Linked DNA regions of Xenopus tropicalis. The protein of the gene in region 2 interacts with the protein of the main gene of each other region in a pairwise test. Links are inferred from orthologs where the notes say so. Each region holds a gene or a part of one and is shown on either strand. Other genes may lie near its edges.

Region 1 (4,448 bases), on a different chromosome or scaffold from region 2:
GGAAATCATTTTTTAAACTGTAAATTGTTTGATTAAAATGAAGTTTATGTGCGACATGGCTGGAACTAGGGGTGTGGAGAGGAGGCACCTGCCAAGGGTGCAATGGTGGTGGTGGGGGAGGGCTAGGCACCTCCTCTGCCTAGACATCCCCTCACCTGCACTTCTCACAGGACAATCCTGTTCGTTCTCACATCCATGTGAGGGAGGGGGGTGAGGGGTTTCTGCATAAAGGATATTATATATTTTCATTTTTCCCACTTTGATATCCTGTAATAGGTGCCTATTAAATGGCTTAATACCTCTTTTGGTTTAAAGTGAAACTTTGTTTCCATAATCTTTCCACAATTTCCAGACCTGAATTACTTTTTTGCCATGATTGCTACTGAAGTTAATGTTTTGTAAGTAGGTTAAAAAGATGATATATATTATATAGAAGCTTTTCTGAATGTTTATACAGGTATCGGACCCCTTATACGGAAACCCGTTATCCAGAAAGCTCCGAATTATGGAAAGCCTGTCTCTCATAGACTCCATTTTAATCAAATAATTCAGAAATGTAAAAATGATTTCCTTTTTCTCTGTAATAATAAAACAGTACCTTGTAATTGATCTCAACTAATATATAAATAATCCTTATTGGATGCAAAACAATCCTGCTGGGTTTAATTAATGTTTTATTGATTTTTTAGTAGACTTAAGGTATGGAGATCCAAATTACGGAAAGACCCCTTATCCGGAATACCCTTGGTCCCGAGCATTCTAGATAACAGGTCCTATACCTGTACTTTGCTTAGACCATTTACAGCATTTAATTATATTAAAGGTATAATTAAGTGTGTGCAGGGAACATTCCTACCATATTTCAACTTGTTGTGTGGGAGCTGCCAAACAGCTTACCTATCCTAGTTGATTCCCAATGACCAGCACTTAAGTGTATGGATTTAATTGTTCAGCCAAGGCATGCAGCGTGGCAGGCTTATACAACTCAAAGTATGAAAGTATAGTTTATATTAAACATATTAGGGCAATCTGACATAATATTGCTTGCCTGAGGTAAGACATACTGCATAAAAAGGTACAGGTATGTGACCCATTATCCAGAATGCTCAGTACATGGGGTTTTCCAGATAAGGGGTCTTTCCATAATATGGATCTCCTACCTTAAGTCTAAAGATTGTAAAGGGTAATTCCAAGCGCACCGGACGACAGGATATCTTAGACTATCCTGTTGTCCGGTGCGCTTGGAGTTACCCTTTACAATCTTTGGATTTTCTACCTTGGCTACGGGTTCGGGGCCCTGAGCACCCGGCCCATTTTTGGACTATGGTGAGCCTTTATTCATCGCTTATCAGATCTTTCTGTTTTCTACTTGTGCGATAGACCCGGGGTATGAACACCCGGGTCTCTTCTTTATATTTGGTACAAATTGATTTCTGCCGTTTGAACCAGCTGAATAGATTAATGCTTGGTTCTTAAATTAATTTAATATTTACATTTATTTTTGAGCGAGTTTATTTTTTGAGTTTCCTACCTTAAGTCTGCTAATAAAATTATTTAATCAGTAATTAAACCCAATAGGATGGTCTTGCATTCAATAAGGATTCATTATATCTTAGTTGGGATCAAGTACAAGGTACTGTTTTATTATTACAGAGAAAAAGGAAACCATTTTAAAAACTGTGAATTATTTGATTAAAATGGAGTCTATGGGAGATTACCTTCCCGTAATTCTGAACTTTATGGAAAATGGGTTTCCGGATAAGGGGTCAAACACCTGTACACAATTAATATTGCCTAGCTCGTTAACATAAAGGCTAAGTACTTTTCTCCGTACATTTCAGGTGCAGTATATCTTCTGTATCTTAATCAAATGCTTTATAGAAAGTAGTAGGTCTCCACTATCTAATGCTCTAAAGAATTTTATGGATTTTATTTACCCAGTGAGACACTTGTATCTTCTCCTCACTCTTGTAGGAAGAGCACATAGAGGAGATAAGAAGTCTCAGCACTGGGCTCTCCAGTTTCCAGTAGAGGGTTGAGGTTAAAGGTTTTAATAGAGGTTTTTATTCAATTCAATGGTAGGCAGCCTCAGAAATGACAGGCATTTCTCTGCTGGTGGAAATACATACACCTTCTGTACCATGGCATTTAGAAACCATATCTGACAGTAATGCATACTAATCACAGCTGCACAGTAAGACTGCTAGTTACAGTACATTAAAATCCACTTGTCTGAAATTCTGCTTAGAAGTAAATGGCAAAACACCAATATGAATGAGGCCGTATGTATTTCTTCCCACTGCTAATCTGGCAGCATCTGGTGGAAATTCTATTGTGGCATCTGTAGCAGCGGGAACAGTTCAGTAACAAAGTCAACAGACTGTGTATTCTCTAAAGGCTTAAAAAGTAATACCAACCTGCAGTGAACCACGATAGGACCAGCACTTGGAGGATTTGACAACTTCACTCGGCGAATGAATGACAAAAGACCCGTGGCATGATAAGGAACACCATGGTCTGGCCAGCCAGTGAAGTGGAACTGTTTGACTTCACGGATCTCATTGTACCCTCTCTGTAAATTACAAAATATTATAATTGAGTTTATGATAGCTGGAAATATTCTCACAAAAAGAACTTTGGGGTGCTCCCAAGAAAGAAGAGATGCCAGTAAAAATCAGAAAAGCCCCATCGTTTTGAAAGAACCCAATAAAGCAAGAAATGCATTAGTTGTTACTGAACCCAACCTGATGTACAACAGCACTATAACAGTATGAAGCCATGATTCAAAAATGTCTCTTGATGCCTTTATAATTTTGAATTGGTCCACAACACTACCAATTGCTGTATGCTTGGGGCCTTGCCAGGGTCGTACTTGGCTAAAGGGAAACCAGGAAAAAACCCTGTGGGCCTTGCTACATGTCGATACCTGTGGAGAGCAGGGTGCACAGGGGGGCTGGCATCAGGATGGCAGTGCACAGGAGCGACTGGTGTGGACCCTGATAGCCTGAACACCCCAGTCTGACGCTGGGCCTTATTATGTACCAATTTTGCTGGCCAGTCCCCATTCATTGACCCTAATTTGAAGGGGCAAAACAAAGGAGGTGGAGCTCAAGAAGGATGCCTGTGTGCAACTGGGGGTGACCACAAATAAGGAATGGAGTATAGTAAAAACAAGTGGAACCATGGTTGAATAAAGTGTTCTACTATATATGTGTAAGAATAACAATTAACCATGCAAAATAAGAACCTAGCAATACTAGCCTCAATACTCTTCAAATGTTGCAGCAGAATTTAAAATGCCTATGCTAGTAAAGACACACAGGGAGTGCGCTATTTACAGTCTGGCCAGTAGATTGCTTTAAAAGAACAATTCTGTTGCTCACTAGGAGAATAATGGAGTCATGTACCACAACAAATTTGTGAACATTACTAAAACTACTGAAGGACTCAAAGTAGTGAACACTCTAAAGAATGCCAAAAAACCCTTAAACAAACAAAAACATAATTTCATCCAGAAAAAAAACCACACACAGCAATAACAGAATAACGCTGATTTTTGGTTCAAAGGCTTCTGTATATTTACATATTATTAATCAGCCTTAATACATTTCAGTTTGCTTTTTTTCTGCTAACCAAGCTTTGTATTTTATTTTCCATAATTAAGCGAAGAACATTCCTGGTATACTTATTCCCAGTTTTAGCTATAATTGACACTGGCATGGTAATTGCTTCCCCTGAAATTTTAAGAATGAAAATCTCCAAGCATCACAGGTAGAGAATGTCAAGCATCCCATTTTGGGTTAAATTCTACTTAGCAGGTACCTCTTGTCAACTGATTTTGTACATGGATAAAACAATTTCTGTATAGCAGTATTTACTCACATTAGTGATGGTGCTGTCTGCAAACAGAAACCACTAAAATCATTGGAAAATCTCCATAGTTACATTGCAAAAAAAAAAAAAAAATCTATCTTATAATGGTTTATCCCAGCCCCAAGCACTACATTATTAAATCAATGGAAAGACCAGCAATAAACTGCTTCCTTATCTATCATGATCTAGTTACTTTAGTTCATCTAGCTAGCAACGAAATGGCAAAAAAAGCTATTTTATATATATATATATATATATATAGCAATATCTGTCGTTGTCCTTGTTCCAGTGTATTGTTTTGGTACTAGCACGCAGATTTTGTTGCTGCATATAGTGTGCACCCTTTGTACTATTTTATTTTGTATAAAAAAAAGTAAACATTAAGTGCAGATTTAACTGGGCTACAATCAAAATAATTGAAATGTTTATTTTGTGAAAAAAAAGTCAGAGCTATAGGGACAGAGGGCCCATAATATACTGACAGAAAGCTAACAGCTTATTGGGAAACTTACCCTTTCCAATGTGAATGTCCGTATTACATACTCAGCAAGTGGTTCCATTTCCACACAAGATAC
Region 2 (3,725 bases):
TTTGTATTTACTGATTTTAAAAAGCATGCCCAAAAATCATATAGGACTGCACTGGGTAACATGGTAACAATTGTTATGGGCTATAATTGCCAGGACCTTCATGGTGTAGAGTATGGTTTATATGTTTTTGGCAAATAACACTTTTTGGGAATTCACAGAAGTGTAGTTACCTTAAAATATGAGTTAAAGTGGAGCAAAATTAATTTACCCCACAAAATCATCTAAATACAAATTAACAAAAGTAGACGGTACTGTTTTATTGATTAAAATGGAGTCGATGGAAGATGGCCTTCCCCTAATTTAAAGCTTTTTGGAGAAAGGGTTTCCAGCTAATGCATTCCATAACTGTACTACTTTTACAGAGGACTTCAGTGCTTCTTTGTTCCAAACCATGTAGAGTATTTTTACATTGCTGTGCCCATCCTTTTTAAAGCAACTGTTAAGTATAGAGATTGAGATGTTAATGCTTGTTTGTCCTTGCAGGAACACAATGGCAGCTGTATCTGCCTGCCAGTTGCGTGATGTTTCCGCTGAAGCTTTGGCCTGTTCTGTTATAGGAATAGATGAAGGACAGTTTGTGAGTATTTCCTGATTTAACTTTAAAGTTCGTTCTTCACCTGACTTCTGATGACCGATAATAAAACTTCTGTTCTCATTCAGTTCCCTGACATTGTAGATTTTTGTGAGGAAATGGCAAATCGTGGAAAGACTATGATTGTAGCAGCTCTGGATGGCACATTTCAGAGGAAGGTTAGTTGTAGTTACAAGTATAAGAATGCAATGTGTTGTGCTTTTTACATGGGTTTTAAGTGGCCCTTACCACCTTTTTGTGCACATTTTTAGGCATTTGGAAACATCTTGAATTTGGTGCCTTTGGCAGAAAGTGTTGTAAAACTCAACTCTGTTTGCATGGAGTGTTATCGGGAGGCTGCATACACCAAGCGGCTAGGGGCAGAAAAGGAGGTATGTAAATAGTCTTCTGGAGGTATTATTTATGTCCTTGTCTGCATGTGAGCTATTTGTGCATCAAAAAATGCCAGCTACGTTTTCTATAGACAGATAGCAAAATTATTGCAAATATTTTGCTTCACAGGTAAATCCAATAAATTGCATTATTTCTGTTATGTTATTGTACTTTAAATACAGGTAATGTGCAAATAATTTTTTCCTTGTACTTAATTTCATACACACAAATGGTGTGGCCATATTGCTTAATTTGGTTTAGATATATTCATAGGGGCATATTTATTATAGAGTATAAACCAACATCACCGGTGATGTTGCCCATAGCAACCAATCAAATCTTTGCTTTTATTTGCTAACTTGTAGGTGACCATCCAAATTGAATTGCTGATCGGTTGCTATAGGGAACATCGCCAGTAATGTTGCCTTACACACTGTAATATGCCCCTACTGTATATTCTCATGTTAATCTTCAATTGATGTGGGTTTTGTAATGGCCATTGAGGCAGGAGGTAAAAGAATTAATGTTAATTTTAATTAGGCCAAATTTCAGCTAGTGTCCTGTAGGTTATGAGCCTGCAGACCAGAAAGGGATTTAAAATGCAGGTCCCTATATAGGCATTTTCCACATTCATTCCTTCCTTCCCTCCCACTCTTAAATTATGTCCTTTACAGTTTCATTGTAACCTCATTTTTTTTATTCTATCACAGTGAGTGGGTGAAGCTGCGTAATTTCCTTTTGTTGCTATATGATAAAATGGCAGTTTTAGTTTGAGTCTTAAGTTGTATCCATTCTAAAAGCCCTCAGTAATCCTGATGCTGCCTCCTTTATTTGCCACAATAGTTTTGCATATTACGAGCTAAAAAGAAAAATATATATTAGGGGCCAGTGACATGTGGCAGTCGGGCAGATTTGGATGGAAAAAATTGGCCGGCACTTTGGGTGTGGGTTGTCATTGCCCAGCCACAGCCTGTGGAGCCTGGCTCCACAAAAGCTAGCCTCATCATTGGTGGCATAATGTTTATGGGCTGGTTTGGGTTGGGACAGGTGTCTTAAAAGCCTCTTTTCAACCTCAGACTGGGTAAGGCCTAGGTTGAGAAGGCTGCAGGTTATGGTGTGTGCAGGTCCCCATCTCATAGAATCAGATTTAATTTTTTTTTTCTCCTTTTTCTGCATTGTGTGCAGGTGGAAGTTATTGGAGGAGCTGAAAAATATCACTCAGTCTGCAGACTTTGCTTCTTCAAAAACCAGCAGCTCCCGGTAGAGAAGGAGAATGTGCTTTCTCATAATGCACTAGACACCATTTCCTTAAAGCTTAGTAACAAGCTGCAAACAGCTTGTTCCCCACGCAAGCCACTTGCACAACGACAATGCTTGTAATGGACTGTACAGCTAACTTACTGTATTGCTTAATGTGTATAATGTATGTTTTTTTTAAGACTTATTTTAATTTTTTTTGTATATGTTTTACGTGCATATCTGTATTTACATTAATATTGGCTTCTAAATGGAGATCTTGCTCTTTTGTGCTGTCTTGTTATTTATTTAAATGTCCCTAAAAGCTTAAGGTCCCCATACACGCTGATATCCCCACCTACGGTGGGGCCAAACGATCAAATTATACTGGCGGCAAGGGGCAGTCTGTTCGGGGACCGCATCAACGAGCCGATGCGGCCCCCGATCCGACGGAATTTTCTAACCTGGCCGATCGAGATCTGGCCAATTTCAGGCCAGATATCGGTCGGCTAGGACCCTCGTTTCTGCCCCTACACGGGCAGATAAGCTGCAGAATCGGTCTAAGGGACTGATATCGGCAGCTACAATCTGCCCGTGTATGGGGACCTTTAGTGTAAGAAAGGAAACGACAATGTGTAGTAAATGTTCTTACCTCTTTCTTATCTTGAATTGAACTAAACCCCTGTAAGATGTGACGGATTGCCAAAATACATTCTACAAGTTTGATGTGGTTGTATAGGTCAAAAATCATGTGTTAAAATGCATGAAAGATTTGTCATCTGACACAACATGCCTGTTGGAAGATCAGATGGAGATCCTGACCCAAAAATCTGATCAAAATCTCCCATGGAGTTTATCCCGTTATTATGCAAGGGGACAGTGATAATTCAGAGCTAGAACAATAGAGAGGATGTTTTCTACATCCAGTGGGGTTAACTTTAAAGATTTATTTTGATTTGGATTGTAAAAACCTTTAAGGAGTCCTACAACCAAAAACTGTTTTTCATGGTAAAAGCAAGATCACTGTATATTTGTAAGTTTGTTACATATATAATACACATACAGAGCTATGAATATCCTGTAAATCTTATCAATATAATTGGTGCTTAGTGATGTATGTTTTGTCAGATGACTCACTGAAACAGGGGGTATTATATTTGTTATATTTTAAACAATAGGATGTTATGAGTTCAATGACCTGTATAAGAAAAGTACTCAGCTTTGTGCCTTTATATGGCTACAAAACTCCTCGGTGACTTATAATATCCTTATATTTTATAACATTATTCACTATATAATAACTTTTACTCTTAGGGATATTAAGGTGAGAACCAGAGTTCCATGGGGGTGGGGGCTTATTAATTAAAAATAAATCCCCATGTTTACCTACAATGCAGAATTAACCCATAATTCCAGACTTACAGCAGGTTCAGACAACAGTGTAAGCAAATTAGTATCTGAATTAGTAAATTCATTGACTTACAATGTGCTAAAGTAACATTTACATGCATTTCAATAGGTGCTA

What was found.
Region 1: the proteins of tk1 (region 2) and ptprk interact in a two-hybrid assay, tested with the Homo sapiens proteins (2 studies listed by BioGRID and IntAct). The link is inferred for Xenopus tropicalis from reciprocal best matches to the Homo sapiens genes TK1 and PTPRK.

Annotation. Positions count from the first base shown.
Region 1 is NC_030681.2:68,144,463-68,148,910, forward strand, and holds part of ptprk (receptor-type tyrosine-protein phosphatase kappa), read right to left. Parts: coding exon 4,386-4,448; intron 2,573-4,385; coding exon 2,418-2,572; intron 1-2,417. UniProt on the Homo sapiens protein: Regulation of processes involving cell contact and adhesion such as growth control, tumor invasion, and metastasis. Negative regulator of EGFR signaling pathway. Forms complexes with beta-catenin and gamma-catenin/plakoglobin.
Region 2 is NC_030686.2:26,189,921-26,193,645, forward strand, and holds the end of tk1 (thymidine kinase, cytosolic), read left to right. Parts: intron 1-483; coding exon 484-577; intron 578-660; coding exon 661-750; intron 751-843; coding exon 844-963; intron 964-2,149; coding exon 2,150-2,344; 3' UTR 2,345-2,489; downstream 2,490-3,725. UniProt on the Homo sapiens protein: Cell-cycle-regulated enzyme of importance in nucleotide metabolism. Catalyzes the first enzymatic step in the salvage pathway converting thymidine into thymidine monophosphate.